2 linked regions of the Xenopus tropicalis genome follow. The protein of the gene in region 2 purifies or fractionates together with the protein of the main gene of each other region. This does not show direct contact. Links are inferred from orthologs where the notes say so. Each region holds a gene or a part of one and is shown on either strand. Other genes may lie near its edges.

Region 1 (3,826 bases), on a different chromosome or scaffold from region 2:
TTAAAGGTACATGGGCCAATTGCCGAGCCGTGCCCAGCGGCAGGGGGGGCGCGGGTACTGACCTCCACCAGTCGGCCGATGTTGGCTATGTGCGGGGAGGAGTCGCTCACGGTCTCGTCCTTCTCCATCTGAAAGAACAGACATGGAATTAATGGGGTTCTAGATTGTTCTTACAGAGCCCGGGGAATGACCCCCACGGGGCAGTTACATAGAACATTCGCCACATTCCCTCCCACTCTGTCCCAAGCCATAGGGATGTATTAACGTCGGTTCAATGAAGACCAATTGGAAAGCTGCTGAGAGTAGGCCACTGTACAGTACCTGTCGGGTCAGGCTTCCGCCCAGGTTCATGGTTCCCGATCCGGTCTTGTTCGTCTGCAGCCACAGCATGACGGTGGAGGTGAGTTTGTAATGGGCGGTGCGGCCGCTGGATTTCTCCTGGGGGGGACAGGGTTAAGGGGAGAAAGGGTTAAACGCTCGGGAGACGCTCAGGCAGCCGTAGCCCAAGGTAAAAACACAACAACAAAATGTTCAGGAATTTAGAAACAAATTATACGCCCCCCCAACCCCCCAGGGCCATTGCTTTTCCTTATTAGCAGAGCGGCCCCTAAACGAGGAGCAGTCACGCACGGGGCCCATTCCTCACTGCATTGTGCTGAACACCTGGCAGCTCACCCCCCGCTTGTGGCCCTAAGGATATTGCTCAGCTCGTGGCTCTTACCTGAACCTCAACCACGTGGATGGAGTCCCAGCATCCCTTGATCTTTTTGGAGCCGTCCCCGGCTTTCTTGATAAGGATCACTCCTGCGAAGCCATGGTCCAGGTCCCAGAGGTACACGGAAGACACGCCCCCTTCAAAATACCTGCGGGGAGGGGGGGCAAATGTGATGCAAACTGGAACGCATGTAGTTGCCAGCAGGAGGGGGTAGTAGAGCTCCCTGTGTATTGCCCTCCCCTCCACCACTGGCTGCATTACATGCAGTTGCCAGAAGGTGGTGTTGGGAAATAAATTGGTACTGGCCTCTTAGACCTTTATGTGCCAATAAGTGCATTACATATACTGCTACCAGCAGGGGGAGCTGGGAGACTGCACTGTGTATTACCCTCCTACAAGCCAATGGGTGCATTACATACTGCTACCAGCAGGGGGAGCTGGGAGCTTGCACTGTGTATTACCCTCCTACCAGCCAATGGGTGCATTACAAACTGCTACCAGCAGGGGGCAGGAGGTGAGGGGATTGAGAGGCGGTTGCAGCTGTTTGATGTGGTTAAGGCTGATGAGTTTTTACATAAGGGCTTTTATGGGTATTTGAGGAATGTGCTAAACTGATGTCTGTACCCAGCTGAGCCCCCCCCCCCACTAACAGCAAACACATGGCAAACTCCGCCCCCCCTGCACCCCTTCCTGCCTGGTCCCACACAGCCCTGGCACCCCCACTCACACTGCAGGGCGGCTGCTATTCAACTACAAATCCCAGAATCCCCTATAAGCTCCGCGCTGTTCAACATCTGCTCAGAGCTGGATATTAACTCCCTGTCTGCTGCAGCAGTCTCACCCACACTATCCAATCATACGGCTTATTAAAGGGCATATAAACCCAAACTATCATCTGTCACTCTGTAACTGTCACTGTGTCTGTCCCTTTCCCTTCCCTGCACTGCTGGTTCTGACTCCTGATACAACTCCCCAATACCCATTCATTCCTCATTCTCACTGGGTTTATAGTTATGTGTAACTGTCACTGTGTCTGTCCCTTTCCCTTCCCTGCACTGCTGGTTCTGACTCCTGATACAACTCCCCAATATCCATTCATTCCTCATTCTCACTGGGTTTATAGTTATGTGTAACTGTCACTGTGTCTGTCCCTTTCCCTTCCCTGCACTGCTGGTTCTGACTCCTGATACAACTCCCCAATACCCATTCATTCCTCATTCTCACTGGGTTTATAGTTATGTGTAACTGTCACTGTGTCTGTCCCTTTCCCTTCCCTGCACTGCTGGTTCTGACTCCTGATACAACTCCCCAATATCCATTCATTCCTCATTCTCACTGGGTTTATAGTTATGTGTAACTGTCACTGTGTCTGTCCCTTTCCCTTCCCTGCACTGCTGGTTCTGACTCCTGATACAACTCCCCAATACCCATTCATTCCTCATTCTCACTGGGTTTATAGTTATGTGTAACTGTCACTGTGTCTGTCCCTTTCCCTTCCCTGCACTGCTGGTTCTGACTCCTGATACAACTCCCCAATATCCATTCATTCCTCATTCTCACTGGGTTTATAGTTATGTGTAACTGTCACTGTGTCTGTCCCTTTCCCTTCCCTGCACTGCTGGTTCTGACTCCTGATACAACTCCCCAATATCCATTCATCCCTCATTCTCACTGGGTTTATAGTTATGTGTAACTGTCACTGTGTCTGTCCCTTTCCCTTCCTGCACTGCTGGTTCTGACTCCTGATACAACTCCCCAATACCCATTCATTCCTCATTCTCACTGGGTTTATAGTTATGTGTAACTGTCACTGTGTCTGTCCCTTTCCCTTCCCTGCACTGCTGGTTCTGACTCCTGATACAACTCCCCAATACCCATTCATTCCTCATTCTCACTGGGTTTATAGTTATGTGTAACTGTCACTGTGTCTGTCCCTTTCCCTTCCCTGCACTGCTGGTTCTGACTCCTGATACAACTCCCCAATACCCATTCATTCCTCATTCTCACTGGGTTTATAGTTATGTGTAACTGTCACTGTGTCTGTCCCTTTCCCTTCCCTGCACTGCTGGTTCTGACTCCTGATACAACTCCCCAATATCCATTCATTCCTCATTCTCACTGGGTTTATAGTTATGTGTAACTGTCACTGTGTCTGTCCCTTTCCCTTCCCTGCACTGCTGGTTCTGACTCCGTGGCGGCACGTAAATAGCCGGATGACTCAGTAACTTATAGGAAATGACAGTTCAGTCTCCACCTAAACAGGGTGGAACGTTGGGGGCAGAAAGGGCAGAAATTATCTCAGTGCAGCCAAACGAGAGAGGGGGAGTTTGATTCCTAGTGCCCCCCCTATGGGGCTGGAGTATAATCGACACACCCGGAGGTGGCGCCAGGGTGCAATGCAATCTGGGATACGCAGGTGCAGCGCCCCGGTGCCAGCAGCACCCAGCACGTGCGCCAAGCCAGCTGGCACCCACAGGGGAATGAGATACAGTACCCCCCCCGCACTGTCAGTTCTCCCCCCCCCGCACACTGTACCGCACAGACTCTCCCATAGGCCAAGCAGGGTCACAGTCTGTGCTGATACAGCAAATCATTACACTTCCCACTTTTATTTATAATCTGCCTGGTAACCCATGGCAACCAATCAGCAGTTTCCTCTCATCAGTCCATTAGAATCTGATTGATAACCCTAATATCTGATTGGCTGCTGTGGGCTACACAATAGGTACAGCTTGACTCCTAATCCCCCTCATACAGCACAGCGCCCCCATCAGTGAGAAGCAGCAACATTTTATTGCCCCTTAGCCAATGATATGTGCACTGAATTACCCCATGTCTCCCTGACCCAATCCGCCACAGGGGCATTAGGGCAAAAACCTGCAATCTGTGGCCTGTCAGTCACATTTCCCATGATTCCCAGTTAGATGGTATGCTTAGTAGCCCTGCCAAGCCCTATGCCCCTTGTCCCTGCCCTGTGCCTCTCTGGCTATTGCTGAACTACAACCCCCTGCTACTGGAACATTGGGCTTAACAGTATGGCAGCACCAGCCTGCGTTCTACACCCCCAACATAATAAATACTGGATACAGCCCCCACAGTTCCAGTCCATGT
Region 2 (3,695 bases):
AAGGAAAGGCTAATAAAGAGTTCTCTTTAGTTCTCTCAATAGTGCCATTAAGTCTCCCCATATTTCTCCTGTTCAGATGATCAGAAGCCAAACAGGAAGAAAAAATGCTGAGCTGTGTAAAGAAAGTTCCCATAATGCCTCGCTCCTGCACCAAGAGCAAGAGAAGGGAGTGAGTTCTTAGCATTCTTGAGGGAGGGGGGAGAGATGAGAGAGCTGCGTGTCTCTGGCAGAAGAAAACAGACACAACAAATCTTTTGACAGAGAACTCAGTGCAGCGTTTCTGTGAGTGCTTATGGCTGTATTTACATAGACCCTTCTGATAAAGCTTACTTAGTTTTTACCTTCCTTTAAACTTATCTAGCTTGCTATTATCTGGCTTTATATATCATGTTGTACACTGCGCACAGAGCCAACCCCTATATCAAGCTCTGTGCTCAATGGCAAGTACTGGTCAACTTAAACTAGCCAGTTAAATTGGCCCTTAAGATATTCTATACCCACAATAACCATTCCCATCTCCAACCATTACTACACACACACACAAGTGAGCAAGAAAATACTTTTAATATACCAGTGTTATCCTAATCTGACCATATGATGGCTTTACATTTTTTTTTATATATAAAAGTCATGACTTCTTCCATTCCTTACAAAAACAAGGATGAAATCCCATGTCAAAGGTCACAGGGCATGATTTCCTACTTGGTTAAAATTGATGAACCTGGCACATGTGATCCTTTGTACATTATGTATACTGTGGATAAAGCAGGAGTGAAGTATGCCAAGAACATTCGCCAGATCACTGAGTAATTGAGTTGAATGGTTTGAGGCCATGTTCTCTACAAGTCCCTGGACCACCATAAATCATTTTCTCTGAACAGCAGTAAAAGCTGGCATCTGAATTGGCTGCATTGGCTGCATTGGCTGATGCATTGTCTGGAATAATGGCTTCTTTCGAAGATCTGACATCATTCTGATGGACGGGAGAAGCTGATTCCTTTTGATGATCTGCAAGGCCAGCTGGGTATTGCCTACAAAAACAAAAATAAATACAGTGCTTTGAGCAGAAAGATTGGTTTTATTTGGCTTTGGATGTTTCAACATTTTACAAAATGCTTTGACCCGAACAACCATTACACTTAAACCAGCCTATTGTTGTGCCTTAGATTTATGTTGTTCTTTTATACCAGATACAGAATATTTTATTGTTGTTTGATGCTGATCAGCTAAAATCTGAATTAATCAATATTTAAACGTCCGCAACCAAAGCTGAAAATAAAATAAATCTGATTTCAAGGTTTAGGGAAGGCCTTCACAGTCCCCAGATTACTGTTATAGTTAGTTTTAGGGTCGACACACAGTGCTTGTGCACAACCAAAGAATATTTCTGAACAAGAAGTGTTCTGCAAGGAAGACTTTTAGGGCTCGTACTCACACGTGTTTCTTTCTGTGCTGCCTGACAGTGGCGTTCTCCTACGTTCCACCGCGGGGGGAGCACAGGAAGAAGTGCTTCCCATTCTTCCTTATGGGTCTGTACTAATGTTGCATTCCCCTGCTTTTGGTGCTGACCTGTGCCTGCGTTAGTACAGCCCCATTAGGAAGAAAGGGTTGCACTTATCCCTGTGCTCCCCTGCGGTGGAACGTAGGAGAACGCCACTGTCGAGCAGCACAGAAAGAAATGTGTGAGAGTACAAGCCCTTATCTAGCTAGCATGTACAGTTCAATTTCATTTAACACTTTATTTTCTTCAATATTAGGTTTATTTCTGTTATTACAGTAAATGCTCTGTACTCTGATGCTGAGTGTGTGCATCCAAAATCCCAGCCATACAGCAAAACATGGGTATATTTCTGCCAAACTTCAACACGCAAACACAAAAGTAGGCTTTACCTTTTTTCCCTAGTATATCATTTTGTCCCAAAAGTAAACAAAATGTATGTTTCCAATTAATTTCAGGTAAATGTATGGGTTCTGTCATCCAGAAAGCTCCAAATTATGGGAAGGCCAGCTCCGATGTCCTCCATTATAATCAAATAATTCAAAATTTTACAAAATTCTTTTTTCTCTTTATTAATAAAACCGTACCTTGTACTTGGTCCAAACTAAGAAATAATGAATCCATATTGGATGCAAAACAATAATTTTTGGTTTATTTAGTGTTTAAATGATTTTTAGTAGACTTAATGTATGGGGTTCCAAATTATGGAAAGATCCCTTATTGAGAAAACCCCAGATCCCAAGCATTCTGGATAACAGGTCCCTGACAACTGAATCACTTAACATCTTTATAATGGCCAAGCCTAGTACTGCCCACTTTTAGGTCTAATTTGTTTAAATGGAATCAATCCATGGGGAGCAGCAGAACCCATTTTATAGGAGCTAGGATTACACAAAGGAAAATGTGGATGCTGGATGCAAATATTTTTCAAGGTCTAATAGAGAATGTGTCTGGGAATAGCATAATGCAATAACGTGCCAATATATTAATGTCAGAATGCCTGTTCCAGTGTAAATATGATCTCATGGCAATGCCATCTGTCAGAGAGACAACCACAGTGGAGCGTTTGTGAACATTGATTTTCTTGAATGGGAACCCTAGTGGGTAAATGTATCATGCAAGGAAACTTTAATGATTCAAGTATGGCACCAGGGAATGCCCATGAGGATCGGGATATGAAGCAATTTGGATATTCACTTAAATGATGTTACATTTATAAAATATGCATGGGATATGGATTCTACTCCTCTGCTGGAACCTTTGCATACTTATTTCATGCAAGCAGAAAGCGTAGATCGGAAGCACAGATATAAGGAGCAATGGAGAGAGAGGTTTCGCAGCTGTGGACCCATGCAATTACACAAATGTACAACTCGAATTACTTTCAGTAGAAATATGGATTTCAGTCATATATAGAAAGCCTTTAGAAAATGAGTAAAAACACTTCAGAATTTCCCCCACCAACACTTAAATTAAATGACATTTAAAAGAGAAAAGAGAATAAAAAAATTAACCCTGGTGCTGCCAGTAGGCAAATAACACGATTCCTATAGCTACAGTGAGGAACATATTTGAACACCCTGCGATTTTGCAAGTTCTCCCACTTAGAAATCATGGCGGGGTCTGAAACTCACATTGTAGGTGCATTCCCACTGTGAGAGACAGCATTTAAAAAAAAAATTCAGGACATAATATTGTATGATTTTTAAAGAATATTTTTGTATTTCACTGCTGCACATAACTATTTGAACACCTGAGAAAATCAGTGTTAATATTTGGTACAGAAACCTTTGTTTGCAATTACAGAGGCCAAACATTTCCTGTAGTTCTTGACCAGGTTTGCACACACTGCAACAGGGATTTTGTCCCACTCCTCCACACAGATCTCCTCTAGATCTGTCAGGTTTCGGGGCTGTCGCTGAGCAACACGGAGTTTCAGCTCCCTCCAAAGATTTGCTATTGGATTTAGGTCTGGAGACTGGCTAGGCCACTCCAGAACCTTGATATGCCATGACCCATCTTCAATGCTCTAACTGAGGGAAGGAGGTCGTTGCTCAAAATCTCACAATACATGGCCCCATTCATCCTCTCCTTAATACAGTGCAGTCGTCCTGTCCCCTCTTCAGAAAAGCACCCCCAGAGCATGATGTTACCCCCCCCATGCTTCACAGTAGGGATGGTGTTCTTGGGATGCAAC

Evidence for each region.
Region 1: the proteins of cnot10 (region 2) and capzb purify together in Homo sapiens (co-immunoprecipitation; 3 studies listed by BioGRID and IntAct, with this or other methods). This does not show direct contact. The link is inferred for Xenopus tropicalis from reciprocal best matches to the Homo sapiens genes CNOT10 and CAPZB.

Annotation. Positions count from the first base shown.
Region 1 is NC_030683.2:129,996,567-130,000,392, reverse strand, and holds part of capzb (F-actin-capping protein subunit beta), read right to left. Parts: intron 864-3,826; coding exon 722-863; intron 439-721; coding exon 322-438; intron 129-321; coding exon 63-128; intron 1-62. UniProt on the Homo sapiens protein: F-actin-capping proteins bind in a Ca(2+)-independent manner to the fast growing ends of actin filaments (barbed end) thereby blocking the exchange of subunits at these ends.
Region 2 is NC_030682.2:50,255,943-50,259,637, reverse strand, and holds the end of cnot10 (CCR4-NOT transcription complex subunit 10), read right to left. Parts: intron 1,032-3,695; coding exon 865-1,031; 3' UTR 546-864; downstream 1-545. UniProt on the Homo sapiens protein: Component of the CCR4-NOT complex which is one of the major cellular mRNA deadenylases and is linked to various cellular processes including bulk mRNA degradation, miRNA-mediated repression, translational repression during translational initiation and general transcription regulation.